Linked DNA regions of Stegostoma tigrinum. The protein of the gene in region 3 interacts with the protein of the main gene of each other region in a pairwise test. Links are inferred from orthologs where the notes say so. Each region holds a gene or a part of one and is shown on either strand. Other genes may lie near its edges. The genes, in order: akap9, stx18, disc1 and exoc1.

What was found.
Region 1: the proteins of disc1 (region 3) and akap9 interact in a two-hybrid assay, tested with the Homo sapiens proteins (2 studies listed by BioGRID and IntAct). The link is inferred for Stegostoma tigrinum from reciprocal best matches to the Homo sapiens genes DISC1 and AKAP9.
Region 2: the proteins of disc1 (region 3) and stx18 interact in a two-hybrid assay, tested with the Homo sapiens proteins (2 studies listed by BioGRID and IntAct). The link is inferred for Stegostoma tigrinum from reciprocal best matches to the Homo sapiens genes DISC1 and STX18.
Region 4: the proteins of disc1 (region 3) and exoc1 interact in a two-hybrid assay, tested with the Homo sapiens proteins (2 studies listed by BioGRID and IntAct). The link is inferred for Stegostoma tigrinum from reciprocal best matches to the Homo sapiens genes DISC1 and EXOC1.

Annotation. Positions count from the first base shown.
Region 1 is NC_081355.1:108,967,273-108,975,932, forward strand, and holds the start of akap9 (A-kinase anchor protein 9), read right to left. Parts: upstream 3,735-8,660; 5' UTR 3,655-3,734; coding exon 3,607-3,654; intron 589-3,606; coding exon 346-588; intron 1-345. UniProt on the Homo sapiens protein: Scaffolding protein that assembles several protein kinases and phosphatases on the centrosome and Golgi apparatus. Required to maintain the integrity of the Golgi apparatus. Required for microtubule nucleation at the cis-side of the Golgi apparatus.
Region 2 is NC_081354.1:17,152,797-17,160,665, forward strand, and holds the start of stx18 (syntaxin-18), read right to left. Parts: upstream 3,278-7,869; 5' UTR 3,225-3,277; coding exon 3,072-3,224; intron 1-3,071. UniProt on the Homo sapiens protein: Syntaxin that may be involved in targeting and fusion of Golgi-derived retrograde transport vesicles with the ER.
Region 3 is NC_081357.1:97,267,349-97,275,179, reverse strand, and holds the start of disc1 (disrupted in schizophrenia 1 protein), read right to left. Parts: upstream 3,655-7,831; 5' UTR 3,406-3,654; coding exon 3,300-3,405; intron 1-3,299. UniProt on the Homo sapiens protein: Involved in the regulation of multiple aspects of embryonic and adult neurogenesis. Required for neural progenitor proliferation in the ventrical/subventrical zone during embryonic brain development and in the adult dentate gyrus of the hippocampus.
Region 4 is NC_081354.1:109,168,803-109,176,743, reverse strand, and holds the start of exoc1 (exocyst complex component 1), read right to left. Parts: upstream 3,576-7,941; 5' UTR 3,482-3,575; intron 1-3,481.

The DNA.
Region 1 (8,660 bases), on a different chromosome or scaffold from region 3:
AGAAAAATTTTTCTTTCTGACGAAGGGACTAGGCCTGAAACGTCAGCCTCCCTGCTCCTCTGATGCTGCTTGGCCTGCTGTGTTCATCCAGCTCTACACCTTGTTATAACAAAATTCTACTCTTCCAATCAGAAACATATGAATTTGGTACTTAATGAAACACCCTCTACCCACAGCACATAATGTATGAACTTAGCAGAACTGGGAAAATATTAGGCTTTTGTTCTCTTACTGTAAAACTATAAAAAAACACCACACAAATCCTACATGGTATATAAGCACACGATAAATGAATTTGTCACATCTTATTAAATTGAAGAAAAACAAAGCACAAATAATTCTCACCTCAAACATATAGGTCTGGTCCTGTTTGATTACATCTCCACTGTGTAAAATCCTATTAATTATGAACTCTCCATCTCCTAGTGGACCACTCTCTGCCCTAGTTTTAGCATCCTGTTGCTGATGTTTAGGTGTGACGTACTCCACCTGCTCCTCCGGTTTGTTTACTACTTTTTTCTTTCTCTTTTGTTTTTTTCCCGGATTATGAAGGTTGACCTGGGCTTTCCGTTGTCGAAATTGGGCAAGCTGAAAATAGAAAATTTGATCATGACTTTTCAGATTATCAGAATCTTTAGAGATACAAGATCTTACATTTTTCTTCACATAAACAGAAACTAAAACATTATAGTAAATAATGACAATTAATCCTATACATATTCCCTCATGCCTAGAATACAAATTGTTTAATATAGTCTCGTTTGGAAAAGATGTTGCAAACAATTCTGTATTACAGATTATGTTATATTTCATTTCCAATAGTAATGATTTTGTTGCTTGCATCATCTTTCTGCACAATGCTTCGAGCATACAACGCTAAGGGGTAATTTGACCAAGGAATTTTAAGATATTGAAAGGAAATAATATGGTTAATGGAGAGAAACATGTCCCTTCCAGTAGGTGACATTAAGCAAAGAATAATCCAGTCAGTTCAGGTGCTGTTTTATCCCCATACCCCTGCAATTTCCTTCAAATATCAAATTAATTTCCGTCTGACATCATGGGTCTTGGAAACAGTTTGGAATTCCAATTAATTGAGTAGATGCTAGCTCAATTAAATATGTTAAATCAGAGATAGATACATGCTGGACATTAATAGAAAAGGAGTCTGAGTCAAAGCACGTGCAGTGAAGGTACAGATTAGCCATGAATAGTAGAACCGGAATTCAAGGCATAATGGTCCTATTCCTGTTCCTACATTCCCATAATCTAAACCAGTACGAACCAAGTGATTCAGTCAACTAAGTTGGGACTATAGCAAGAATTCATTCCCTGAACAAACTTTACACATCTTTTTCAAAGCCTTTCCAATGTGAGAAGAAAAACAAAACTGAAGCAACAATAATAGTATTATGACAGATTCAGAATGACTTCCAATCCAGGATAATGCTGAGAGGAACATCTGGGAATATATTTTCTATGTAATATAAATATATATTTCAAAACTTGGTGCAAGTAGTAAACATAAGATAAAGATATAAAAGCAAAATACTAAAGATTTTGGAAATCAGAAATGAAAACAGAAAAACTTGGAGTAGGTCTGGCAGCATCTGCAGAGGCAGAAAAAGACTTAACATGTCAAGTCTGTTCTGACTCTTCTAGAGTACGTATTCTTTGAGTAAAAAGCTTAATTAATGTGCAAAACCATTACATAACAACATTTGGGAACTGCTGATTCTGATCATTTTTCACAAATCAGTTCAAAAGTATTATGTCAGACTTGAAATGTTAACTCTGAATCAGCTTCTCTTTCACCAGTCAGACATGATTCCAAAGATACTGACCATGTAGATTAAGATTTGGTGATTAGGATTTTTTCTAGACATTGTCCAATTTTGTACAGTTTACCTTATCCATTTTGCAGGTGGTGTGTTGAACTTTAATACTTCATCAAGAGGATGCAACAAGCTAAAATCGATATGGAAACATGGAAATGCACACTTCAAAAAGTTTGTGTTCACTTTGGTAAACAAAACTCAAAGTTGCCCTCCATGTCATGAAATATACTCATTTTCGTAACTATCATAACTTTCTTAAATATCCCATTGGCTGAGGGAAAGAATTCTACTTTGCTAATATGCTAAGACTTTAAAGATTTGCTTCAGTCTTTGACTAAGCAACAGCTTAATGAGTAAAACATTACTTCACAACACAACATTTGGCAACTGCCGATTCTAATCAGCCTCAGGATATCATTGCAGAAGTTTCTCACATTAGCATCCGAGGTCTAACAAAGCCGTATCAATTACTTTCACTCAATCATGAACAGTGAAATTTGTGGGACCGCTTTCATCACACAGACTGCTCTAGTTTAATAAGGCCCACAACAACCTTGTCAACAGCAGCTACAACTTGATAATGACAGGCATATCACAGAAACAAATAAAGAAACTGTTTTCATACTTTATCCACATGCTATATCAATATGGATTAATTTAATTCATTTTATATTCTGTTTTCCCCAACTTCTACTGCAGCTATGTCAAACTTCAAGGTTGTCTTTCCCACCTGTTCATTCGTCACTCAGCAAGATTACAACTATCACTGGAAACAAATACACAAGTGCATTGAATTATGTGAGAATGCAATAAGATGCTATATATATGCACGAGGCTATTCTTGTAGACAAAGACGCTACTGAAATTATCACATTTAATCATTCTGTAACCATATGAAAATCTAAGTTTCTCTGTGATGCAAAACATTTACAGTACATCAATAAAAATGGGAGATTATGCCTATTGAATTTTAGCACACACAGAAATAAAGCTGTCACTACTCACACAGTTCATAAACAATCTTGTAATTTCTTGGGCAAAACAGATGATAATAATCAGACAATCTGGTGGCAGTTCAAATACTCCAGCATACCTTTATTAAAGTACCAATCCTGTTGATGGGATTACTAAACACTACTAAATTATAAATCTGGAAAAAATGTAACAATTACATACTTTAGAAGTTGTTGTTAAACTTCTGCAATTTTGTTACATTAAAGTGACTTTCACTCCAGCCTTCTTAAGATGTATTATCTTAAATGTACTTCAAGACGTTAGAAAGTATGTAATGTATTGGGCTGTCATTGCGAATAGCTGCTACATCCAATCCAACACGGTTAACAGAAACAAACCGTTTTCGCTGAAAGCAAAATCTTTAAACAACTTTCATTAACACACTTAATTTCTGTTCAATTTATAATGTACAATCTTTCCTTTGACACGTCCTTGCAAATAGCTTTGTATCGATTCTGATTAACTCGTTTAATTCAATTCACAACAAAGCCCTGGATCCTGCTCTAGGCCCTTCTGGCACCTCAAGTAAACAATAAAAAGCACGATTACCAAAGGCCTACAATCCCCTACAGTTGGCTAAAGCCTGCGGATCCAATTAGAAAGCACAGAGATATTAAAGCTCATCCCTCTGCACCTGGAGACGGGGCCATGGACTAGTGCCTTCCAGACAGAAAACAGCCGACCAGCGCCGGCCTCCGTCCCTCCCTTATCCCGACTCCAGTATTCACCGCCGCAGCAAGTGAGGGACTCTTACCTTGGCTTTGCCGGCCTCCAATTTCTTCTGTCTCTCCTCGTCTTCCATGGCTGTGTGAGAGGGAGGGAGTGGAGCTCAGTCAGTGACACGTTAGCAGCGCCGGCCGACACCACGGCCCGCGGCAACGACACCACTGCGCATGACAGACTCACAGGACAGCAATCCCTCGCACGGGAGGAGGCGGCTGACGCCAGGTCAGAAAGGATGGGGAGAGGAGGAGAAGATGGTGAAAGGGAGGGAAGGAGGAGTTGGAGATGGATGGGGAGGAAATAGATACAGCTGTGAATGTTCTAGAAAAAGATGGGGGAGAAAGTAAGTAGGACTCAAAAAATAAATGTTCCACATGTAACTAAAAAGCCAGCCATACATTAAGTTCAACCAGGTAGAGCAGGATGGTGCTAGATCTGAAGTGTTGGGGCCACCATTCAATGAAATGATGTTATCAGTATGTCCATATGAAGAATAATGGTGTAGAGACATTGTACATCTATTGTGAAAAGGAAACAGTTAGGGTTAGAAAGCAGGAAATTGTCAAAAGTGGCAAAGGACACCGGCAGTGTTACAGATGCGGTGGATGAGCCTTGACAAAGTGAAACAATAAAATTAGAGATAGAAAGAATTCAGTTGGACGGGGCAAGTAATACCAGGATGATTATATTAAATTTCTTTACACTTATTACATCAACTCAAACAACAATACTAAGCACAAAGCTAGTTCACTGATTGTACATTAAAGAATAGTACAAGACTCCTCAACAGTATGTGGCCTCTAGAGTTGTAGAAATCCCAGATGTGATCTGTACCAATTTCAACTGGACACCCACATTAAACTTTATCAAAGCTGAATTATAACAAATTTTGATGGCTTTTTGATTAAAGCCTTACAAATCTTTCCAAAACTCCATTATTACATAAAATTATGAATGTCTAATTCTCATGGAATAGCATAAGTGTTTAGACTAGTCAGACTGGAAATCTACCGTTTAGAAACATCAGTTGTCTGGAAGTTCTTTGAGCAGAGCCATTCATGTGTCAGTTTAGTACAATATATTGAGAGCAGAAAAAATGAAGATGTGTTGGGGTTAGTAAATTCTTTTCATTACTTTGAACATACAACAATGTGAACAAGGAACAAGAGTAGGTTCACTTGGCCCTTTGAATTTGCTCTGCCATTTCAAGATGATCATGGCTGACCTGATTTTAACCTCAACTTGTCATTGGGGTCGATTAGCTCAGTTGGCTGGATGGTTGGATTGTAATGCAGTGTGACATCAATGGTGTGGATTCACTTTCTGCACCAGCTCAGGTAACCACAAAGGACTCTCCTCCTTAACAAGGACTCTCCTCCTTAACCTCTCCCCTTACCTGAGGCATAGTGACCTTCAGGTTAAACCACAATCAATCTTGTCACTTTAGAGAGGAACCCAATGATCTGGCAAGACAATGGTAATTTGATTACTAAAAGGATGAAGGATTATCAGAAATGTAAAGACAGAATCTATTTATCTCTGCCTTAAAAATAAAGATTCTGCATGCATCGCCTTTTGAGGAAGGGAATTCCAAAATATTCAAATCTCCCAGAGACAAAATATGTTTCTTCATCTCTATGTTAAATGTGTGACCCCTTATTTTTAAACTCTGATTCCTAGTCCTAGATTCTCCCACAAGAGGAAATATTCTTTTGACATTCATCTGGTCAAGTCTCGTCAGGATCTTAAATATTTCAATCAAGTATTTCAATTGACTTTTCTAAACTCCAGCGATTATAAGCATGCACTGTTAGCCCTTCCTAATAAGGCAATCTTCTCATTCTGGGTTTACTACTTTAAAGTGTTTTATGTTTAAGGTAGCTAATGTACATCCACAGTGGTTTCTGTTTCATGTACATGATTAGGCCAGAATGTCATTCGATAATGCAGAAAAGTCAGAAATCCAGAAATGATTTGGTTCTAAGCATTCTGGACTGCAGGGTCACAATTGACTTACACATAAAAGAATCTCAATAATTATTAAATTCATTAAAACAGGCGGACAAGACTTTTATTTCGTCAACAGTCTCATGACAGTAGTGGACTGTAAGGAACCACAGCCAGAAAGAGGAGAGTTTTCAATTTTTAGAATTGTGTTTCCATAAACTAACCTTAAAATTTGTATTGAAGTTGTTAGCTTTCTGCGACAGAAATGTTTGTAATGTTCAGGACATCATGGATGAATATAAAATGAACTGAACTTTAAATGTATCCCATTGGAATAATCTGAATGGAAAAAGTATCAAAAGATGACCAGACACTTTCCTTCAAAAGGGAAATAAGCAAAAAGACAGGAATGCACTTTCACTTCAAACTGATCCAGATAACAGTTGTTACACTCTTAAGAAACCAGCCATGACATCCAGAACAAAGATGTTGCTAGATCAGAATTTTTTTATTTCCTCTGCCAAGGAGGGTCATAATATTCTGCAGTTCTCAGTCATGTTCCCTACTTGCCCACCCTTGACCTGGTTGCAATTTTATGGGAGGCAGATGAGGCCTGATGTGGCATGCCTTCCCTCACCTCGAATGACACCCATAAGTGGCCAACTTACAAGCAAGTAATGGCAAGTTGCTGCTCAATTTCCAGCTAAGAGTGAGGAAATCAAGGAGACAGGAGCACAGCACATTAGCCTGCTCAAACTAAATGCATTGTTTGATAAGTGGCATGTTACAGAGCATTTATAATTGCTTGCTTTTATTGTTCAGAGAAATATTTGTATTAACTGTTCAATCAGAGACTTACAACATGAGAATGGAAGTTATACAGGTAATTGTCTTCTGATTGGCTTTCCTCTGTAGGTACAGTTTCGCAAAAGGTTAATGTTAGCAATCAGATAGAAAATAGTGACAAGGTTTGTTTTGCTTTTTACCATTTTGCTGTCATGCTAAAATATATTTGCATTTACCATTTACAACTCCTTCTGTCGGTGCTGAGTCATCAATACTCATGCCAAAATTTTTGAACTTAACATTCACAAGTCTGCAAGCCTTAATATGATGAGACCTGACTTTGAAGTTATCTCTAAAGAAAAGTCAGCCAGAAGTTTATTGATTAAAATGCCTGAGTCTCCATAACTAATGAGATGAATCCTTGGAAAGGATTATAAGAGATAGGATTTATAATCATCTAGCAAGCAACAATTTGATTGGAGATAGTCAGCATGGATTCATAAAGGGCAGGTTGTGCCTCACAAACCTCCTTGAGTTTTTTGAGAAGGTGACCAAGCATGTGGATGAGGGAAAGGCAGTTGACGTGGTGTGCATGGACTTCAGTAAAGCCTTTGATAAGGTTTCACATGGTAGGCTATTGGAGAAAATACAGAGGCACAGGATTGAGGGAGATTTAGCAGTTTGGATTAGAAACTGGCTTTCTGTAAGAAGGCAACAAGTGGCGGTTGATGATATTCAGCCTGGAGTCTGGTCACTAGTGGTGTGCTTCAAGGATCTGTTTTGGGACCACTGCTGCTTGTCATTTTTATAAATGACTTGGACGCAGGCATCGGTGGATGGGTTAGAAAGTTTGCAGATGACACTAAAGTCGGTGGAGCGGTGGACAGTGTGGAAGAATGTTGCACGTCGCAGGGAGACTTGGATAAACTGCAGAATTGGGCTGAAAGGTGGAAAATGGAGTTTAATATGGATAAATGTGAGGTGATTCACTTTGGAGGAATAATAGGAAGGCAGAATACCGGGTCAATGGAAAGATTCTTGGTAGTGTGGATGTGCAGAGGGATCTTGGTGTCCATGTACATAGATCCTTAAAAGTTGCCACCCAGGTTGATCGTGCTATTAAGAAGGCTTACGCTGTGTTAGGTTTTATTGGTAGAGGGATTGAGTTCCGGAGCCGTGGTGTCATGCTGCAACTGTACAAAATGCTAGTGTGGCCTCATTTGTAATATGCGTGCAGTTCTAGCCGCCCCATTACAAGAAGGACGTGGAAGCATTGGAAAAGGTGCAGAGGAGATTTACCAGGATGTTGCCTGGTCTAGAGCGCAGGCCCTATGAAGAAAGGCTGAGGGACTTTGGTCTGTTCTCATTGGAGAGAAGGAAGCTAAGAGGGGATTTAATAGAGACATACAAGATGATCAGAGGATTAGATAGGGTGGACAGTGAGAGTCTTTTTCCATGGATGATGACTTCAGCTTGTACAAGGGGGCATAGCTACAAATTGAGGGGTGATAGATTTAAGACAGATGTCAGAGGCAGGTTCTTTACTCAGAGAGTGGTAAGGGCATGGAACAATCTGCCTGCCAATGTAGTTAACTCAGCCATATTAGGGGCATTTAAATAGTCCTTGGATAAGCATGTGGATAATGATGGGATAGTGCAGGGGCATTTAAATAGTCCTTGGATAAGCATGTGGATAATGATGGGATAGTGTAGGGGGAGGGGCTTAGATTAGTTCATAGGTCAGCGCAACATCGAGGGCCAAAGGGCCTCCGCTGTATTGTTCTATGTTCTATGAATCAGAGTTGCCAGTGAGAGTTGGGTCACAACACTTTCTTGCTTTGGTGAGCTGTGAAGTTAAACTTGATTTTATCTTATTTACTTAAATTAAATTCCATTCAGCTTAATGGTGAGCTATTTAAGCCAACATCACAAGGGTGGAAACCAGATAGGAGAAGTTGACATTTTGGCTATTTCATAATGTCTGTTTGCTAATTTTGGCTAAACTTTACATACTTCACTATCGAATTGAAGATAAATTCATTAATTTAGAGATTTCACAGATTCGTTTATTTTCATTAAGACAGATATATTTGAATCAATAAAAGTTTGCAAATCAAGCTAACATTCCCCATTTTGAATTAAATTTTTATTTTGCAAATTCAGGTAACTTCTTTAAAAGCTCAAAGTGCAAGAGGAACTTGATAAGTCTGACAGCATCTGTGGAGGCAGAAATGTTTCAAGTCCAATATAACTCATAGTTTAGAACTTTATTCTCTTTTCACAGATATTGCCAGATCTGCTGTATTCCTCGAGCATTTTCTGTTTTTATTTCTAATCTCCAGTATCTTGCAG
Region 2 (7,869 bases), on a different chromosome or scaffold from region 3:
TCAATCATTTGCATTTATAGGACCTTACATGAACACACAGTTTGGCATTTTTGGTCAACACAACTGGCTGCACTTTTACAATGCATTATCGACTGCAACTTCTGATTAATTAGTGACACATAAACACGACAAGGCAAGATATTCTGCATTGCTACATTGTCTTCAGCACAACTACCAATACAGAGCCTCAACTGGTCATCTCTGTACAATTTGAGGATCATTGCTGCGTGAAATATGACTGCCATAACAAAAAAAGTGATTACCCCTCAACACTCATTGCGAACAGCTTCTGGATTTCACGATAACATATAAATGTAAGAGTTGTGGTTCAGCTGGCGGACTGTCACTCAAAGCAGAGGTTTAAGGTTCAAGTCCCACTCTAGGTCTTCAAGACAAAAATCAAGGCTGATACTCCAGTTCAGTATTGAAGGAGTGCTATATTGTCAGAGGTGCTGTCTTTCAGTTTGGACATTGAAATGAGTCTCTCTCTGCTCTCTCAGATGGTCACAAACGGTACTAGGTCAAAAAGCAGTGGAGCTATCCCTGCTATCAAAGCCAATAAATATCTCTCGACAAACAACATAAAAACAGCGGTGATCTGGCTCCTTTCGTTTCACCAACTACAACAGAAATCTGAGTGAACATATGCTGTTACACTAAGACCTGATCGAAATAAAAGTCCAACAGACTGTTAGACAAACACACTGACTGCAGGCTTCAGCAGGGACAGATGTCCTTTGATATGGGAATGTCAGAGGCACATTTGAAGCAGGCAAAAAGCAGCAAAGAAAACAGCTCCATTGTTAGCAAAGACAGGGGCAGTAATCAAGAACAAAATATACATTTGGAGAGATACTTGAAACGCTACTGTGAAATAAACTGTACAGACTGTTACTGAGGACGGTCTAGACAACATGAAAGCCTGCTGTCATGGCAGAGCCAGATATTGAATCCACAGCTCAGTTACACTATTTCTTGCTGTGACTAAAGCTGGAGATGCTTATGCTACATGACCTAAATACAATTAAGCACAAAAATCCAGCACTCCTGCAGCATCTGCTGGAAGGAAGTGGCAGTGCCCAGGATATGCATGATTCTAAGACTAATACCCTGTATAAGAACAAGGGTAACTGCAACAATTGCAAAGCCATAAAAGCATCTTCCTGCTGAGTGGCACGCTAAAAAAAATCTTCTAGCATTGCCTTCCTCAGACTCCAGATCTTGGTTGAATGCATCTTTTTGAAATAACATGGTATGAAGCTGGATGAACACAGCAGGCCAAGCAGCATCAGAGGAGCAGGAAAGCTTGACGATTTGGGTCGAACTGGATGATATAAAATTGACAAGACCTTCTCTGTCCAGCAGCTGCAAGAGAAATGACGCAAGCAATGGCAACAATATATCAAGGACTTTCACTTCACCAAGGCATTCAATCACGTGAGATGAGACAGGCCATTTGTGCTGCCTGATTTAATTGAATATATTATTGTCACATGTACCTAAGTACAGTGAAAAATTTTGTTTTGGGTGCAGTACACGCAAATCATAACATACAAAGATCATAGGATGATTGAACACAGTAAGGAATTCTAAGTTATGGTTGCAAAGAGGTGCTCAAAAAGCAAGATCATCATTAGATTTGAAATTTAAAAGGTCCATTCAGAAGAAGCAGGGAAGAATTTATTGGTATCTGTGTTCAACTTTTATGCTTTGGTCACCTGCCGAAGCTGCTCAATGAGATCTTATTTCCTTAACAAAATACTGAGCAAAGTCAGCTAGGGTCAGATTGGTATTCTTTGAAATCTGTAGTGTGACACCAACACCTTTTGGCATATACACCTTTTTGCTAATGCCATATCCCAGCTGGTGACCCGTTCACAGTACCTACTTACATACTAGAACTGACAGAACCTACTCATTCTTGCCCACCTAAGATCTAAGACAAAAAGCATCAAGCTCTCATCACAGCTGCTCTAGGCTGACAATACTACACTAACATTCCATACTGAGCAACACCTTGAGTGGAATTCTGACAGATTCTCTCACATTGTAAATTGGTGGTATGGCCAATAGTATCAGGATCATTTTTAGAATGTCGCCATATGCCATCTATCAGCATTGATAATGTGACACTGGAGTTTGTTTACAGTCTTACATATGTAGACTCCATAGTAACCAGCAAATTATCTGTGGAACAATTTTCACCTTCACTGTCGCAAACATAACGTCAGCATCTCTTGGCAGGATAAGGACACAAACTTAGAGGTCTGGAACATAATGTCTGTGCTGACCTGGCCACATTCAACAGAAAATGATCATCTGTAAACTGAACTATCTATATAGCACCATGACTTCCTGGGCCATCCACACCTGTTCCAAGGGCATACAGAAACAACCCTGACTCTGGAGATTGACTGTTTGAATGAAACTAACAGAGACAAAGAGATCGGCTGGCTGATAGAACGGCCAACTTAAACAGAGGCCACCGAGTCCTACCACTGCCCTCATCCGCAACAGATGCGGCAGAGACTGTCATGCCAGAGTAGCTCACCTGAACCACATAGCTGGTGATTCTCAGAGAGGTGACCACGGGGAAGCAAATCATTTTCGTGCTGGACAGTGAGCTACTGTGCGTATACCACATTGCTGTGCACACACTGGCTGGCCGCTGTGTTGCCTACAGCACAACAACGACTACATTTCAGAAATGTACCATTGGCTGTAAAACGCTTTCGGCGGGTGGGGGGAGGGGTGTGGTGTTCGCTAGAAGTAAACGGTGCCACAGAAATACAACTCTTTCCAGCGTGAGACACTCTGGCAAGACAGTCTCTGCCGCATCTGTTGCGGATAAAGGCAGTGGGTTGAAGAGGTGTAGGGCTCGGTGGCCTCTGTTTAAGTTGACAGTTCTGAGGAAGGGTAACCGGACCCGAAACATTAACTCTGATTTCTTCTTCACAGATGCTGCCAGACCTGCTGAGATTTTCCAGCAACTTCTGTTTTTGTTCTTCCCAACGTTCAATGGCAAGCCTCCGTACTCCCCCTGCATTGCTTCAATTCTCTCTGGCACTCACCACTTCTCTGGCCCGGGCGGTGAACTCGGCCCTCGTCCTCCCCTTCCTCAGGATCTCCTCCCTGACCGGTTCGCCACTGACACCGATCGCCTTGTTCCGAGTTTTGACGGTTTTCACACTCGCTCGGAACAAGAGCGTGATGTCGGCCGCCATTCTGACCGAAGACACGTCACCGCTGGAGAGATCATCACGGCGCGACGCCGCCCCTCACCCCGGGCACGGGCGACGGTGGCGGCGTCATCTTGCGGCGACCCGGTCGGCGTCGGAGAACGGGTGAAGCAGGTGGCGGGAACGCGGAGGGTGAATAATTCCGATGAGGGTTTCGTGGTTTCCCAGGGCGGTTCGCCCACGGGTCGTTACTGGATGAGCCCGGGTTCGCCTTGGAGACCAAACCACGTGAAAGCTACTTCCCTTCCCTCTGAGATAGTAAGAGCTGCAGATGCTGGAGTCTGAGATAACACTGCAGAAGGGTTCCGACCCGAAACGCCAGCTTTCCTGCTCCTCTGATGCTGCCTGGCCTGCTCTGTTTTTCCAGCTCCAGCATTGTACTCCCTTCCCTCTGGGCTTCATCACAGCTTTTATGGAAACCGCTCAGACCAGGACTAACTCCTCACCATCACCTGTACTGCATTCCACCTCTGGAAAAGCTTGCTCAGTATTTCCTGTTAGTGACCCTCGCCCCACCGTGCGTCTCTTGTAAATAGTGAGTCGGAGGATGTTGTGACTGATTACAATTCACCCGGGGGCTGACAATCAATGTTGGAAACGCTTTTGCACATTTCAAGCTTCCAGGCCGAATGGAATCCAGAATTTAAGTTAATTTATTCCAAACGGAAGCCTGAGGTGCCGTTCCTCAGAATTATTCAGTTAGTTTCGTGCGCTCCGGGCTCAACAGCGTGACATTTAATCAGCGATTTGTGGTGCCAGGCGATGAAAGCAGAAGTGGGCACCCGTTTATGTTTAGAGATAATGGGAACTGCAGATGCTGGTAGATCCGAGATAACAAAGTGTGGAGCTGGATGAACACAGCAAGCCAAGCAGCATCTTAGGAGCACAAAAGCTGACGTTTTGGGCCCAGACCCTTCATGGGGGAAGGGGGAGAGGATTCTGAAATAAATAGGGAGAGAGGGGGAGGCGGACCAAGGATAGATAGAGGAGAAGATAGGTGGAGAGGAGAGTATGGGGGGGGGGGGAGGGAGGGGATAGGTCAGTCCGGGGAGGACGGACAGGTCAAGGGGGTGGGAGTTGCTGTCCTTGAAGAATGAGGACATCTGGGATGTGCAGGAGTGGAATGCCTCATCCTGCGAACAGATGTGGAGGCGGCGAAGGAATAGAGGATGGAATTTTAGCAGAAAGGTGGGTGGGAGAAGCTGTATACCAGGTAGCTGTGGAAGTTGGTGGGCTTGAAGGGGACATCGGTTTGTAGGTGGTAGTCTGAGATGGAGACACAGGTCCAGGAAGGTGAGGGATGTGTTGGAGATGGTCCTGGTGAACTTGAGGTTGGGGTGGAAGGTGTTGGTGAAGTGGATGAACTGTTCGAGCTCCTCTTGGGAGCATGAGGTGGCGCCGATACAGTCAGCAATGTATTGAAGGAAGAGGTGGGGTGTAGGTGCGGAGGAGGGACTGCCAACCGCAGGAAGTGCTACACCTGCCCCCACACCTCCTCCCTCATCCCCATCCAGGCCCCAAGATGACTTTCCACATCAAGCATTTGTTCACCTGCACATCCACCACTGTGGTATACTGTATCCGCTGTACACAGTGTGGCCTCCTCTACATTGGGGAAACCAAGCGGAGACTTGGGGACTGCTTTGCAGAACACCTCCGCTCGGTTTGCAACAAACAACTGCATCTCCCAGTTGTGAACCATTTCAACTCCCCCTCCCATTCCTCAGACGACATGTCCATCCTGGGCCTCCAGCGGTGCCAAAATGATGCCACCCGTGGTTGCAGGAACAACAACTCATATTTCGCTTGGAAACCCTGCATCCCAATGGTATCAATGTGGATTTCACCAGCTTCAAAATCTCCCCTCTTCCCCCCCCCCCCCCCCACTGCATCCCAAAACCAGCCCAGCTCATCCCAGCCTCCCTAACCTGTTCTTTCCCTCACCTATCCCCTCCTCCCACTTCAATCCGCACCTTCATTTCCTACCTACTAACCCCACCTGGCCCCCTTGACCTGTCCGTCCTCCCCAGACTGACTTATCCCTTCCCTACCTACCTTTCCCCCCACCCCCAAACACACTCCTTTCCACCTACCCTCTCTATCCATCTTCGGTCCGCATCTCTTTTCCTTCCCAGCTTTTGTGCTCTTAACATGCTGGTTGGCCTGCTGTGTTCATCCAGCGCTACACTTTGTTAACCCATTTCTGTTTTCCTGGAGCTGGTATTCTCTCGATTCTTATCAATATTTAAAGGACGAGTGGCAGGCATGTGAAATATGTGCAATTGTGTGGATGGGGACAAATTTCCTCTCGAAGCTAACCTCGTCTGATGATGGTTCAGGTCCAGCAGGACTGTGGCAGAGCCACCTGGACATGCAAGGAGACACTGTATCAAGGGCCCACTTTTCCTACTCCTTTTTGTCAAAAATTGGCATTTTTTTTGTGCACCTCTTCTCTTCCCCCACTCTGCCCCCATCCTTTATCCCCTTTTGGTGTTTTGGGCCTTGAGATGCTGATAAGGAATACCTCAAGAGCATGTTGAAGTAAGGAAAACATCAATTCTATTTAAGAAAGACCGAACCATGGTTCCATCTTGGCAGGAGGCTGGAGGAGACACTTTGTTCTTAAAACATTGCATAAATTCCTATGGTGTACACTGTCTTCTCAGAAATATCACAGTTAGATTTAACCCTTTACACCCAGTCAGAACAGAGACATCCCAATGCATCCTGCAAATCCTATCCAGACCAATTTGGAATAGTGGATGATGTACTTTGAGCAATGGCAACAGTAGTCTGACCTACACGCCTGATAAGACCTAGAGAGAGATTGCAGAGGTTAGGCCTGCCAGAGACCACAGGTGCTGTGTCACAAAATGGTCAGTGATCTCCACCCATCCACCTGGATAAGTGTCTCAGTTATGCAACATTGTTTGTCTTGGCTATGTGTTTGTTTGGTGGGCAACTAGGTGTTGAGAATGAATGTGTGATCTGCCTTCGGACTGCATGACAGATTAGTTCCGGTTAGCTTGAGTAAGCAGTTTGATATAAGCTACCATTATCTGGTAGGGCCTTGGTAGCATTTGTCAGTTTGTTAATTCTTCACTTTCTTGTGAAGGACAAGCAGATTCATAATCAGACAGCAAGGAGAAAGATGGGCAGAAGTATGCCAAATCTTATGGTCCTTGCCTTTGCTGCGAAAGCAGTCCTGCAGAGAATAGAAGGCCAATCTGTTGTTGATGGCAAGGCTGGAGTGGCTGGGGTTCAGAGGGAGAATGAACTTGACCTGCTGTAGCCATAAAGGGTGCTCGGGACCACAGTGCATTGTGTAGTGCTCAGAATCTCTGTTTTAAAGGGTTTGTTTTTGTTCTCTTTATACAGGTTCCTGCATGCCAGAACATAGGCCTCAGCCACTTAAGAAGAGTGAAGACACCACCTCCGAGGACAACCACACTACAGGATGCACTGTTACCTGCCTGCCTTTCACCCTCCGCAGCGGAGGTACACCCTCCAAGATCATGAATGTGTTGTGTTCAGATTTGGGGTCAGTTTCTAATGAATGCATATCCCAGCAACTATTAGAGGCTGTCACCACCAAGGTTGTTGACACTGAGGGCTGTCCTGGCATAGCCCCCTGCAGAGTCCCATGCTGAAAGCAGGCTCTTTGGTAGTGGTCAAAAGAAGCCTGCCAAAAATGCAGCAGTTTAAACAACATATGATCAAGATGCTAGGGGTTCTGAGCTGTTTTGCACAGACTATGGAAAGCCTTGATGTCTGCCATATGTCAGGCACATTAGCGCATTACTTCTCCTTGGAGAAGTTGGCAACTGCCACAGAGAACCAAAGTAAGCAGTTGACTCGTGCTGTGACGTGCATGCCAATCTTTATTCATAGACTTGATATAACAACGGCTAGGAAAGTGAGGGTGAGAAGCCGAGACCTCCCTTTCAATTCTTCCTATAGCATCTGGAGCATTAAACTGTCAGTCCTATCCACCCCTGAGCCACGTCTCCATATTTGCTATGATATCCCAGTCCCATGTTTCTAATCATAGCCAGAGTTCATCTGCCTTACTACCCTTGAGGACCTACTTTTTATATTCCTGCCTAACTTCCTATATTCTGTCCACAGAATTTCATCCTTTTCTGTATCTATGTAGTTAATTCCAAGGTGTTCAACAACATCACACTGGCCCCTCTCTCTGTTGAGAATATTCTGCCTCTCTGACACATCTTTGATCCTGGCTCCAGGGAGGCATCTCGCTATCGGCCACAGTGTTGTCTCCATTGTTGTCTGGCTATGCCTCTGACTAGTGAGTACCCTATCACAAACAATTACTTGGAACCCGGTATATCCCTTGATATGTTCGAGCCAGTCTTGGTACCAGAAACCTGTCTGCTAGTGCTATGTTCCCCTGAGAGTCTATTGTCCCCTACGTTTTCAAAAAGAACATACTTGTTTGTGATGGGGTAACCACAGGAGAGCCCTGCTATACATTTCCTGGAGCTCACCTATCTAGCTGAATGTATCTTTGGTTTATCTCCCTCCCTGCAATACAATCCGTCACGCCCCCTAGCTCCTGTAAATTCCTCATTGCCTCTAACTGCTGCTCCAACTGATCCACTTGATCCAA
Region 3 (7,831 bases):
GATTTGCGGATAGTGTGAAAGGTTGTCAAAGGATATAGGTCAATTGCCAATACGGGCAGAGGAGTGGCACATGGAGTTTATTCTGGGTAAGTGTGAGGTGCTGCACTTTGGGAGATCAAATGTTAAGGGAAAGTATACAGTTAAAGGCAGGAATCTGTGAGAGGGATCTTGGGATACAAATCTATAGCTCCTTGAAAGTACCCATGCAAGTAGATAGGGTGGTAGAGAAGGCATATGGCACGCTTGACTTTATTGGTCAGGGAACTGAGGACAAGAGTCAGTGCATCATTTTGCAGTTTTACAAGACTTTGGTTGGGCTACAGTTGAGTATTGTGTTTAATTATGGTTGCTACATTTCAGAGAAGATGTGGAGGTTTTGAAAGGGTGCAGATGAGGTTTACCAGGATGCTGCATGGATTAGAGGATATCAACTATATGGAGAGGATAGAAAAACTTGGTTGTTTTTCTGGAGTGGCAGAGGCTAATGGGAGACTTGATTGAAGTTTATAAAATTACAAGATGCATAGACAGGGTTGACAGTCAGAATCTTTTTCGCAGTGTCAAAATGCCTAACACTAGGGGGCATGCATTTAAGGCGGTTGCGGGGGGAGGGGGGGGGGAGTTCAAAGGAGATGTGAGGGACATAGAGTAGTAGGAGACTTGAATTTGTCACCAGGGATGGTGGTAGAGGCAGATACAATGGGGCATATAAGAGACTTTTAGATAAGCACATGAATATTCAAGGAATGGAGGGATACGGACCAAAGGCAGGCAGAAGGAATTAATTTAATTTGGTGTCATGTTTGGCACATCGTGGGCCGAAGAGGCCGTTGCTGTGCTGTACAGTTCTATGTTCTAATACCTTTACCAATTTAAAGTACATCATGATGAAAACATTTGTTAAACTAATATTAATCCCAGCTATCTAAAATTTCCATAATGGGTTTACTCTGGAGTGCACAATTTACATCCCTAATATTAATTCAAAACAAATAGATGAGTGCCTTAAACTCTTGGTATGGTTGTAATTTTATTCTTGAACTACAATGCATAATTTAGCGTCCATTGGCTATTCATTCTAAAGAAGCCTGATAAGTAGACAATATTTTGAAGAATGTTTTCCAATTTGGTACTTTCAGCTTAAGAGAAAACCAGCTCCTTTTACTGGCCCAAACACTGAAATCTATTTTGCATCCTGATATGTGATAGTCATTTATTACAAATACATTTTTAAAAATAAGTATTTTGTATACTTATGTGGGTGTTCACGTTATATTATGCTTTGATGAACTTTGATTAACTTCATTAATAAGAAAGGGTTCCATCCAGTCAATGTCAAACTCACCTGTGATCACTGCAAAAACATTCTGGAAGTCTGAGGCTGCTGCCCTGGAAACTGCCATGATGCCAATATCTTTGACAATTCTCAGGTTCCTGCTTCATTCCAAAGACCAATTGCTTTATTAAGAGCCAACAATTACCCTTTGCCATCATGGCTGATGACTCCATTTCGTAACCTCTGACTCAGACTGAAGCTAAATACAATGCAGCCCATTCTTCCTTTGGGAGACATTAGGCTTCCTCAGATGAAATTTCCATGCACGAAAACATTTGGGGATTTCTTGCAATACTCTGATAATGGATTGCACCACATAATCCTTGCACGTTGTACTCTGGACAACTGACCCAAGCAAAATGGGGATGGGTAATTAAGGAGCTGTGAGAGCAGCAACATTCTGCTGATGAGAAAGAAGAGGACGTTGAGCAAAAGGAACATCAACCTCGCCACAACAGAGTGAGGCAGCGTTGAGCTCAAAACAAAACACCTATTAGACACCCACTTCCAAAGGAATAGAGTTGGTTGAAGTCATTGGCTGTAAGTGCTTAGATGCTGGAAATTCAATTAGCCCCTATATATTCTCAAAAGCAAAAGTAGCTTTTGGCTTGTTCCTTATTCGCCTTTCCTGTTGTACAAGTTACCTTTCAGAGCTGTTGGAAGGCTTCACAATATCTGACACTTCGGCATTTAAAATGACAGCTACCAAGGGGAAGCATGTGAATGAAAAGTAGGAAGTAGCCTAAAAAGCAGGCCTAAGTTTGAATCAAACCAAGATTCAGTTCCTAAAGCTACTTCTATTATCAGAGATGCCTTTCAGTTTAGCTCCAGTAATTTACTGGAGAAAGTAATCAAAGTTGGCAGCTGTTTCAAGAATGGGAATTTGTCAGTACTGCCTCATGCTAAAATAAAAGTTGACAGTGGACTTTCAAATATAAAGAGCAGCAGCATGGAGAGGACTGAAAAGACAAGGGTTTCAAGAAGCAAATTTTTATGTGACCTTCAGTAGTTACCACGGTCAGCTTTCTGCATAGCAATTCATACAAATCTAGAATGGGAGCATTCAGTGAAAGGCAAACTTCTAGAAAGTGCAATTTCAGTTATCAAGTTACTTACTGTACAAGTTAGTTTGGAAATCAGATCATACAGCAGGTGCAGAGGATATGTTATCTCATATCAGTAAAACATCATCACAGGTAGTTTACTTATAATAGTGAATATGAAATTGTGCTATCTATGCTCTTATTTCAGGCAGTATTTTTGGAATTGTTGCAATATTATCTATTTAGAATAGCTCACTTTGACAAAGGTTTGGTACAGAATATCATGGTATATATAATTACCGTACGATTAAATGTGGTTTTCCCTTCACTACAAAAATATTAAAAGTGAAAATAAATATTTGCAAAGTTGTTACCAACCGTATACAGTACATGCAAAGTTAAGGAATTATTATTTAAAATAAAAGAAATAAGCAATATGTGACAAATGTAAACTGTAAAGATCAATCATAACAGCAAAATTTTGAAATAAAACTCCACGTAAATGCGTGCTTACATTAATAAAGAAAATATTTTTCTTAAAATGTGCTATCTATGCCACAAGGTCTTTGGTAAAGTGCTGAATAAATTCTCCCAGCTCCCCGATGGAGCGGAACTGTAAAGGGCAGAAGATCCCAGATTCATGCCCTAGTCGTTATCTTAACTAAGCTGATGAGAAAGATTTTGCAATTAATCGGCGTCCATAGGGCAGGGTTCGGCGAATCAGTAGTTATCATGTCTAACGTAAAGGGGAGGCGGGTCCAAATACAACTCAATAACAGGACTCCGGTACTGAACCCAATCTCAGATGGATATAGGGTGTGGTTAGAGGGGGAAAAAGAGCCCTGGATACATACGCAGGATGTCAGCAATTTGTTTTATAAAACCGCGCAGCGAAACCCGTTCCGTATTACGAGTCATACCTCTTTTCTGCGGGTTTTGCCCCCGAGGCCCAGGATCACTGCTAGAAACTGATCTCGGCCGATCCGCGAAAGATTCGCGTATTACATCCATTCCATCGAACATCATCAGCCAGACCGGCCGAGGCGCGAGCTAACGGCCCCCACTGAATAACCCCCGTCCCGCGCGCTTTGCTTCCGTTCGCGCCACTTTGACAGTTCCTCCAGCCGTTGTTGTCCGTTCGGTTTGATTATCGTGCGACCCTCACCCAACTGCTCGTCTCCAATGGTGGTCGAAACCCCGCGCGCGCGGATCCGTGCACGACAAATTGAGGGAGACAACGACACCGAGTCCTCTCAGTTCGTTATGCCAAAGGGTCAGTCTCTTGCAGAGATTTGAGGAAGTGAGCGAATCAGTCCTTTTCTTTTACACAAACGCAGTGGCGACTTTGTTATTACAGCTTCACAAAACCTTCGATTTTGAAGGTTCTGTTTGGACGAATTTTGAGGGTTTAGTGCTCTGTTTTTGAGTGGCCCAACTGCGTCAAAAGCATTATGATTACATGCTTTATATTTGTAATAAATCTCACTTTTACTTTTGACCTGTTTACTGATGTAACATTCTGGAATTGGATACCCTTCAGTGGAGAAACGATATATTGGATGAGTTGTGGTCTGGAATGAATGTATTACCTGAAAGGATGGTGGAAAAGACTAATACGGAACGGGTTTCGCTGCGCGGTTTTATAAAGATCTCTAAATGGGAATAGAATAAATAGCGAGGACAAATTTAAAAGGCTTTGAATAAAGAATAAGGGAGTGGAACCAATTAGATAGTTATTTCCAAAACACGTTGTTGTATAAGTTTATGTTTCTTAAGAGTTCTTCTTTTAAATCTAAAGGAGCTTTTACGCTTCACTGAAAGGTTTCTATTTCGGGTTTTTCGAGTTTTTTCGGAATTGTTCTGAAGGTGGGTCACAGTACTTGTTTTCTCTTCTAGATGTTCCCACATCTGCTGTGTTTCTCCAACAATTTGTGTTCTAGTTTGTTTGTTATCTTCTACCACTAATCTTTACATAAACCCAAGACAGGATTACAGGCAGTGAACTACTGCAAACAATCCTTAACTGGTACTATATACTAGTTGGTGTCAAAATTCACCCAGTTACCATAAGTGGTTACCTTGGAAAATCCTATATGGCTGCAGTGGTGTCACAAAGAAAAAATATCCAGAAGAAAATTTTAAAAATTCAAGTGAGTTTTTGCCACTTTAACAGCCAGCATTTGCACTTTGAAAGTAAATCTCTCTCCTGAACCCTCTCCAGTTTGATAATATCCTCTGTACAAGAGGGCAGCAAGAACTGGATACAGTACTCCAGAAGTGGCCTCAGCAATGTACTGTACAACTTCAATGTAACTCCTACACTCAAAGACCTGAGCAATGAAGTCTAGAATGCTAAATGCCTTCTTAACCATATATGTGATGCAAACTTCAAAGAATAATGTACCTGAAGCCCTAGGCCTCTCTGTTTCACAACACTACCGAAGGCCTTACTTTTAATTGTGTAAGTCCTGCCCTTGTTTGTTTTACCAAAATGTAAAACCTCACAGTTATCCAAATTAAACTCCATCTGCCACTCTTTGGCCCATTGATTCAATTGATCGAGATCACTTTATAATCTTGGATAACCTTCTTCACTGTGCATTACAGCACCATTTCTGGTGTCATCCATAAACTTTCTAACCATGTCTTCTATATTTTCATCTAAATCATTTATATAAATGACAAACAAAAGTGGACCCAGCACCGAATCTAGCAGAATACTGCTGGCCACAAGCCTACAGTCCAGAAAACAACTCTCCATTATCACATTTGTCACACACTGTCACTCCTGAAAAACTCAATTTAATTTGTGGGGTGCAATTTCACTGAAAACCATGCTTACTATGCCTAATCATTACTTACTTCAAATGCATATAAATCCTATTCTTCAGAATCACCTCCAACAACTTACCCACCACCAAAGTCATACTCACAGGATTATAGTTCCCAGGCTTCCCCTTACATCCCTTTTTAAATAAAGACACAAAATTAGCCACTTTCAGTCATCTGGCATCTCACCCACAGTAATAGATGATACAAATATTTATGCAAGGGGCCCCACAACATCCTAGGATAGACTAGATCAGGTCCTGGCGATTTATCCACCTTTATATTTTCTAAGACATCCAGCACTTCCTATTCTGTAATGTGAACTGTTTTCAAAATATCAATATTTATTTTCCAGAGTTCTCTAACTTCCATTTTTCTCCACAGTAAAAACAGATGCAAAATATTTATTTACTATCTCTCACATCTCCTGAGGTTCAACACAAAGATAACCATGTTGATCTTTAAAGGGCCTTACTCTCTCTCTCTAGTTGCTCTTCTGCTGTTAATGGCTTGTAGAATCTTTTTGGATTATCCTTAACTTTATTTGCCAAAGCTATCACATATCCTGTCTTTGCCTTCCTAAATATCCCTCTTAAGAATGTCCCTACATACTTTATACTGTTCAAGAGAGTCATTTGAACCCAGTTTCTATATCTAATATATGATACTTGTTTATTCTTGACTAGGACCTCAACATCTTTCTTCATCCATTGTTCCCTAATCCCATTAGTTTTACCTTTCACTCTAACAGGAACATAATAGCTGTGACCTCTCGTTACCACATGTTTGAATACCTCACAATTATCAGATATCCCCTTACTTGTAAACAGTCTACTCCAGTAAACTTTTGAAAATTCTTGTCTCATATCTTTAAAATTGGCCTTTCTTCAATTAAATCTTTAATTTTTATGGAAGGTTTGTCCTTTTCCATAACTATTTTAAAACAAATAAATTATGATCACTTGACGCAAAGTATTCCCATACTATCATTTCAGTCACTTGTCTGTCTTATTATCCAAGAGAAGGTCAAGTTTTGCTCCTTCATATTGATAAAGAAAATTTTCTTGAACATATTTAACATTCTAAACTATCCAAACCTTTAATACAGTGGTAGTCCTAATCAATGTTTGAAAAATTGAAATCTCATTATTATAACTATTATTCTTAGATACATCTGAAATGTCTCTACATATTTGTTCCTTAATTTTCCTGGCTGCTGGAGGTCTATATTACAATCCCATCAAGGTGATTGTTCCTTTTTCATTTCTAATTTCAATCCATATATTTTCACTGAATGATATTTCAGAAATATTTTTTCTAGTTACAGCAGTAATGTTTTCCTTAATCAAAAATGCCACTCCCCCTCCTCTTACGTCTCTTTCCCTTCCTGTAGCACCTAAAACTTAGAACATTGAGCTGCAAGTCCTGTCCGTCCTTCAGCCAAGTTTCTGTCATAGCTATGGTGTCCCAATCTCATGTTGAAAGCATGCCCCAAGTTCATTAGCCTTACCTATAGGACCCCTTCCATTGAAATAATTCTTCAGTTACTTCATTCTCTGACTTGCTTTTGTCTGTCTTTTCCAATTGTTCTTTTCAGATTCAAAACCATCTTCATTTATCTTTCTATTTACCCTGCTATTTAGGATGCCTCACCCCCATCCCCCAAACCCTCTCCCTCCCCAAATAGTTTACAGTTTCTCTTAATAGAATTAGCAAATCTTCCCTGTAAGATATCAGTCCCTTTCCATTGCAGGTGAAACCCATCCTTTTTGAACAGGTCTTTTCTGCCTTCGGAGAGATCCCAATGATCTGAGAATCTGAATCCCTGAACATTACATCACCTCTTCAGCCGTTGATTTATCTCCTTCATCATTTTATTCTTTCCCTCATTTGAGTCTAGCAGCGGGAGTAAACCAGAGATTACTACTTTTGAGGTTCTGTTTTGTAATCTTCTATCTAAACCCTTATTCACCCTGTAAAGCCCTGATCTTTTCCCTAACCTTGTCATTCCTACCAATGTGTACAATAACTTCTGGTTTCTCACTTATCCTTTTAACAACATGCTTCAAACATTTTAAAACATCCTTAATCGTGGCACCAAGAAAGCAACATTATATCATAGATTAATGTTCATTGCTGCAGGATCTCCTGTCTGTGCCCTTTATAGGAAAGTCATCTCTAACAATTATTCTTTCAAATTTTGTCAAAGCCAGCCTAACATAAGATTGATTCTTAGTGCCCATGATCTGGCTGCGTCTTCTACTTTTCGTCTAAGAGACTATCCTTTTCAACAGCATCCAAAGCTGAGCATTTGTTTGAGAGAGAAATAACCATGGGAGACTTCTGAACTTCTGAAATTTCTTGACAGTCATCCATCTATCTAACTGATCCTGCTGTGGAATCTCTAAATCTATTAACCACCTAACACTGTGTCTCTTGTATGCCCTCAATGGCATTAAGCGTAAAAAGTAGCAGCTTACAATAGTGCCTTATATATGAAATATACCACCTTTCCATATGTAAAGAATTAATGTTAAGCATGCAAAAAATAAGGAATAAGAAAAACATATAAATCTTAAATAAAATAAATCAGTTAGCTGAACAATTAAATTAAGAAATGAGT
Region 4 (7,941 bases), on a different chromosome or scaffold from region 3:
GTCAAACTCTTTAGCTACAGAGTGCTAGCAGTAAAAGTAGCTGTATAAGTTTACACTTTATAACTAACTTAATAACATGAATTAATCATATTGCAATTAGTTAAAACTAACCACCATTTTTAAAATATATATTCAGGACAGTGAGAAACAAAGAAGGAATCATTGAACTTGATAAAGATGGCAGATGTAATACCATGAATAACAGAATTCAAACAGCTCTTAGATGAGAAAGTCTAGGACAAACCAGAAGGAGTATAAGTAATAATTTTCGGAATGTGAATTAATAGGGCACACAGAATGATCCCAGGGCCCAGAGTTTACATTGACTAGTAAACACCACGACATGAGACCCGTGGCTGTCCCCAGGATTGCCCATCATTGATTAGGTGTCCCATGGATTGGGTGTTTGGATTAAGGGGAAGGACAATAACTACATTGTATTTGATTGCTATAACAGTATCTAAAAATGCTGTACTTCTTTGTGAAATCAGAGTGTGCCATTGACCTCCCTTCTGATTCAGGGAAGATTCTTTGGCCCTCTCCCTGTATTAACTGGTTTCTGCTTAAAAAAACATCTTCCACTTGCCTGAATCCCGCCTGCCTTTTGAATTTTTGTCCCCAGTCAGGGGATATGTCCCACAGTGACTACACTTCCAAAGTTTTTAAATTGGCTGCGAAGTACTCTGAAATAGCTGAAAGTCATGAGGTACAATAAAAGTTTAGTTATTCTTTACTATTTAGGATTGTACCATCTGCAAAATGATGCATTTTTGGCTATTTCATAAAATGCAAAACACAGATATGATAATACATAAATGCCAATCTTTCTTCTGAAGTAAAAATTCAGTATTGGATTACCCAAGTACTCAATACAACAGTATTCAACATATTTTCCTGCCGAAAGTAGGTCCTGAACTTAGCTAGAGACTCCACATACAGTCTTTTGTTAGGAATTCCTTTAAATTTTCCAGGCTCCCAGTTTGAACATTCCTTTCTTGCCAAGTTTAAAATGGTTGTCTCATCTTTGCAGCCTCTCCCACAACTGCTGCTGTGTTCATACTGATATGCTGCCATTCATTTTCCCAACGCTTGACATTCCTCCAACCACAAGATGTTTCACGCATTTGCTGCAGAAAGGCTTACCAGTAGATGTACTTGAGGCTATCAGCATCATGGGAGAGAAATGGCTTACCAGTGGAGGGACCTCTCCTGATTTTTCCACATATGAATTCAGGAGGCAAGTGTACTCTCACTGGTTGACCTTGTGATTAAATTTTCACAGGCTTGGTGAACCTTCACATTAAACTGTTGGTTCCCCTTGCTTTATTCTGTGCAGGCTTCTATATCAATCAATCACTCAGTTCAAACCTATGATAATGCATTTCAGAATGCAACTCAAATATTCTGGGTGTGATACCTTTCCCAAAACTGCCAAAAAAAAAAATCTATATCGACAAGTGGACATCTGTTCCTCTACAGCTGCTGTCTGGCCAATTAAGATTCCAGTATGTTTTTTGTTCAGATTTTTGACACCCGCACAACTTTGTACTTCACATTCTGGGCTGCTGTTGAAAGAGATAATGGGAACTGCTGATGCTAGAGAATCCAAGATGACAAAGTGTAGAGCTGGATGAATACAGTAGGCCAAGTCGCTGCAGTGTCTCTTGTCGATGCCACTATACATTGGCGGTTGGAGGAAGTGAATGTTTAATTGTGATGGGATTAACACAGAGAATAAAGTTAAAATGTCTGAATTAAAAGGCCCTATCTAAATGTGCATGCTGTACATCAGAACAAGCAACCTTTGAGTAACAAAATGACTGAAAAGTAGAGATAGATGTTTCTAGTGTTCATTAATGTAAAACTTTACAAGGTGTTTCAAACAGGTGAAATTAGTTGCTCAACGGTGAAAGTATAGGAGAGAACCAAAAACATGATCACGGAAGTAGGTTTTAAGTAGAGTGGGAAGAGATGGCCACACAGAAAAATGTACTGTAACAGAGCAGAAAGGGACTAGAGTTAAGAGGCATTTCGAAGGTAAGATGGGGTTTGGCTGGGGACGGATTTGAATTTAATACTTTAGGGAACTAGAGGCCAATGGAGAACAGTAGGAACTGGCATTATAGACCAAGTACCACACACAATGGGTGGAAGACTAGTGAAGTGAATTGGAACTTGCTTAGAGGAGCTAGGGACATGAACTAAAGCAGTATTGATGGGCAACAGGAAAGGTGAAGTCTGTACAGTAGAGTGCTTTCCTGTGGAGAAGGAAATGAGCAATCTGGATGATTTGATTCTACATGGATTTTGACTAAGGTCACACAGAGACAAGGATACGAAGTAACTGTAGTGGAGAAAAACAAATGGCTTTAACATTATGAAGGATGCCCAATATACATGACCAGCACCAGATCAGACAAACAACCTGAGATGTAGGCAAGGGAGGGTAAGTAGCCATTAATACTACGTGTGCAGAAACCATGGAACATCATATAGATAGGAAAGAGGAAGGAATCAGTAATGGAACTTAGAGAAAATTACAGAAGCCATGTAGTAAAGAGTTTGCAGGCTGCTTTAGAACAGGGTGCAGTGTAATCAAGTGAGCATTGTGTCACAGATATTAAAGGGAAGGAAAGGAAGGAACTTGAAATCATCAACAGAACTAAATGCCATGGAGGGGTTGGTAAGGGCAAGAATGGTGCACCACAGCTACAATCGCCAAAGGTGGTGTTGGTAACTTTGACCAAGATAGATTCAGAATGAACCAATTTGACCAGCGAGTGATTAAAGTAGTAAATTACAGTTGCAAAATTTATCAATACAGTTAATACATAGTAAAAACTGTATATAACAAGTTCAATTATTTACCAAAATGATTTGGCCTTACTGTTGATATTGTCAAGTTAGAGACACAGAATGAGTCTGGTTGTCTTCCTACATTGACTGGTTGGCACTGTAGACAGAAAATGCAGTGAACTGAAACCTGTTAAAACCATTGAAATCTTGAGGATGCAGGGATCCCCACACACTGATAATGATATTAAGAATTAGGCAACATGCCCTCCTCACAATTTTTGTGGATTTTGTTTTATTTTATTTTATTTTAATTATGCTGATTCACTTTTGGTTTGATTGGAAAACTGCTGATTCTTCTTCAGTGACATTGTGCGACTTACAATCGACTGCAATTGCTCACCAGAATAAATCCAACCAGTTAGTACTGGAGGAACTGAAAATGGCCTCAGTGTGATTTCTGTTTTGAGCAGACAGGAAGATACTGACAGATGGTTCCTACTTTATAATGTACCACATTCTTATCACAATAAAAACTATGATATCCAAGTTTAAATAGCTGGGAAAAATGACACTTTCCAGCTAATACTGTCCCCAATCTCCGGGCTTTTTGCAACAACTCTGACTCGAATCCGAGCCAATTCCCCCGTACTGTTAGCCCCAGCCCACTGCACCCCATCGTGTTTACCTTAAAGCAGAAAGCAGATCCCGTCCAACAGAGACGACCTCTCAACAACAACCAACAGCCAACATCCCAATGCCGGATCCGGAACTGAACCACCTCCACTGTCACATCCGGATATGTACCGCCCGCCCCATATGACAATTTGAAAGGCGCCATCATTCAGACTGGCAAAGCTTTGCTATTTACTCTTTCCATGCTGGAAGAGATGTGTCAGCTCTACAGTCTTATTTTCAGCTGTTTTTCTAGCACTGTCAGAGATTTTAACTAACTGTTAAATGCAAACATTTAGTGAATTTCGATTTTGTTTTGTTGAATTGTGCAGATGGATCTTGTTTGAAAATTTAATCAACTTTTCTTCCAGATTTCCACCTCTTGTCTTCGTATGATCCATACGTGACTCTTTCCTCCCGTCTTAGAATCATACAATACAGAAGAGGCCCTTTGGCCCATTGAGTCTGTACAGCCGAAAGATAAACTGCCTACACTAGTCCCACTTTCTCACACTAGGCTGACAGCCTTCAATGTTATGACACTTCGTCTGTTCATCCAAACATTTTTTTAAAAGCTTGTGAGGTTATCCGCATCAACAACCCTCCCAGGCAGTGCATTCCAGACCCCCAACCCTTCTTGGTGTTGGTGAGCTCCAAACTGCATTTGGCTGTTAAAGACTTGTGTGGAAAAATTGGGCATATTTTTCTTAATGTTTAGAATTCGTTTCTCTGTTCTTGCCATATTTTTCCAACTGTGTCACCGCTCCCCACATTGTTTGGGGCTAAGAAGATACCTCAGATTGAGTTGGCTTGACTGTGGAAACCTTTTTAAATGTTTTCACAAGGGACGAGCATCGCTGGCTAGGTCAGCAAATGTTGCTTACCCCTAATTGCCCTTGAGAAGGTGATAGTAAACTACTTTCTTGACAAGCTGCAGTCCATTTTCAGGAGAAGGGTTTCAAGAGCGAGGGCAGGGTAAGACTTTCTGCAACTTCAGCCCTCTTAACCCCAGATCTCTCAATCAGGCAATGAGTGTCATTGAATGAGTGATCCCCACACATAGGGAGCTGGCAAGGGTTAGCTTTACAGGCTTCCTGCTTGGCAATATCCCCATTATCTGCTAGGTGAGAGTAGACAATGGCAGGAGGAGGCCTTAAATTGGCATTAATCTTCCTGGCCCAGGCATAATCAGGAAGATGGTGGATCCCAACCAGAATAAATGCCCTTGTGTCCAAACTTGCCTCAGGGTGTGTTAAATTTCTCCCATTGTTTTTCATTGAAGTTTACATAGAAAAATTGCTCCCTGAACACCTCCTGATAGGTGCCTCTCTCTTTTTCCTCAATGCCCCTTTTCCCCTTTACTCTGAATGACCTCTCCTTATTCTCCAACTTATGATGTAGAGCTAGCAGAATCCTTACTAATACACCCAAGTCTGGAAGCAACTGTGTTTTGCAATTGGAAGTCATCAAGAAGTCTTTCATCATCAGGCACACTATTCCCTCTGATATTTGTAACATGAATAACCATTGAAAGCACCAAAGATGTAGAGAATCATGATAACAACTGGAAGAAATCAAACAAAGAACTAGCTTGTATGTAGCTCAATGTTTTAAATAGTGCTGCTCAGTGGTCCTTTGTGTTGTTGAGCAACTGTTATATGATATGAAGAGAGGACATTGCTGGAGTGATGAGCTCAATAATGTCCTGATTGGTGTCAAATCAATATTGCATGTCATGAGTTCTGAATTCTTCCAGCTGACATTCACTATGTATAGATTAATACTGTCACATATATGGCAGCCAATATGATTCAGTGCATGATATATTAAGAGCTGCAGATGCTGGAGTCAGAGATAACACAGTGTGGAGTTGGAGGAACACAGTAGGCTAGGCAGCATTCGAGGAGCAGAAATGTTGATGTTTCGGTTCGGGACTCTTTTTCTGAAGAAGGGTCCCTACCCGAAACGTCAACTTTTCTGGTTGTCTGATGATTCAGTGTATGCATGTGCACATGTGTGTGCTGCAACCATCCTTATGTAGTTCTCAAGTTCGAAAGGTATTTGTGGTGCCCCCAAAACACATTAATGTTATCAAATTTTCATCTTAGCATTACGATCTATCTTGTCTGTGTAAATGTTTGATGATTAATTCAATTCAATTCCTGCTGAAAATGTTATTATAGCAAACAGTTAAATACAAATGAGTACAATCCTGTTTATCAGTTTCTGAGAGAATCAAATTGTTACTAAGTACTATTTTTTGCCTTGCAGTATCTTATCTGATAATTAAGTTACATATACAAAGGAATTGGAGGTTAGTATGGAACTGAAATCTAAATATGCAATTATTGCACATAGCATTGAGTATTTTACATGGTCAATATAACAATTTACAAATAGTATGTTAATTAGCAAAGAGGCCAACTCAGTTTGTAAATCAGATGTCAACCGAAACATATACGTTGTCATACGTGATACTTGCATAATGTTTCTAATGTACAAAATATCTTAATGCATTATACAGAGTAAAGTACTTTATAATAATTTCAAAATGGCACAGAGATACTCCATCAGATACAATATAAATATTAGCAGTATTAAGAAAGTAGCCACAATTTTTTTTTATTTTCAGGAATGGAACCACAGAGAACAAGAACCTGGGTGACATTATACAAAATTTACCGTATTACCTGTCAAATCTGAAACGACTTCTTCAAGGAGAAGACCTTAAGAGTAATTAGGATAGAAACATTGGAACAATGTAAGGGGAAAGTCAGATTGGAGAAATTATTTAAAATGATAGATCAAACTGAGCATCAGAAACACAATGTTTGAAGAATTATGAAAAGCAATTCACCAGGAAGCAGAATTGAAAAAGATTTAGACAGTGAAAAGGAAGTACTCATTCACTCATAGCAGTTTGGCAGCTTGTTTGAAAGATTTTGTCATGAATTTTTGAACCTTTCTCAGAGGAAATATATCCTCAAGTTAGAGAGATGAAGTATGAATATACTATGTCTTACCCTTCCCAGGACATCAAAGCTGTACTATTCCTTTACTCTCTCAGTCTTTACTTTGTTCTACATGACATGCGTTAAAAACCAAAGGTTGGCATAATCTGTTCAATGCTCTAAATTTATCCTACAAAATCTTCATCCAAAGCAATGAGAGTGGAAATAGGATAAAGTAGTCTGAGGGAAAATGGAATAGGTCAGCAAAAGCAGAATCTGGGTAAATCAGTGAGAGTGGAAGCTGGTATAATACAGTGGGAGCAAGAAAATGAATGACATAGAGTGAGTGAAAGCTGAATAGCAGCAAACCTTATTGAGGTCGAGGTTGGAAGGGGTTGGGATGAGAACACACCAACACCAGCCAGGTTTGCTGAGGTGCATTCCTGCTACTATGATGCAGGTAGACGATAAAATTTATTGTGAATGTATGCATTATAGAATATATCATAGGTCATATAGGATGAATATATTATAGGAAATTTAGTTTGGTCATTGTAGTTTTTAAATATAGGAAGAAAGGGAAGCTGATGCTATGGTAGCAAAGCCATTATGTGAGCTGTTAAAAATCAAATAATCAGAGTCTTGTTAACTATGTTTTGAGGAGATGATCGACCTTTGAGAACTTCAGAGAAGGTTTAAGTCATTCATGGAATTTTCCAAAAGCAGAAAACCATTTGAATGCAATTAACAAGATTTTGAAATAAAACAAAACACTGACGAAATTTCACAAGTCTGGCAGCAAATCTGGAGCCAGAAATAGTGTTAATATTTTGTGTATAATATGAAAATGATACTGCTTTCTATTTCTCTCCTTGTGTTTGCCATGACTGAGTGTCATAGCCACATCTCCTTCCTCAGTGACTAGGTGTGGCTCTGGATCTGGCTCTGATTTATCCAACACAGATTCCAACTGGAGTTCCATTTTTGATAATGGGAACTGCAGATGCTGGAGAATCCAAGATAATAAAGTGTGAAGCTGGATGAACACAGCAGGCCAAGCAGCATCTCAGGAGCACAAAAGCTGATGTTTCAGGCCTAGACCCTTCATCAGAGAGGAGGATGGGGTGAGGGTTCTGGAATAAATAGGGAGAGAGGGGGAGACGGACCGAAGATGGAGAGAAAAGAAGATAGGTGGAGAGGAGAGTATAGTTGGAGAGGTAGGGAGGGGATAGGTCAGTCCAGGGAAGATGGACAGGTCAAGGAGGTGGGATGAGGTTAGTAGGTAGGAAATGGAGGTGCGGCTTGGGGTGGGAGGAAGGGATGGGTGAGAGGAAGAACAGGTTAGGGAGGCAGAGACAGGCTGGGCTGGTTTTGGGATGCAGTGGGGGGAGGGGAAGAGCTGGGCTGGTTGTGTGGTGCAGTGGGGGGAGGGGACGAACTGGGCTGGTTTAGGGATGCAGTGGGGGAAGGGGAGATTTTGAAACTGGTGAAGTCCACATTGATACCATTAGGCTGCAGGGTT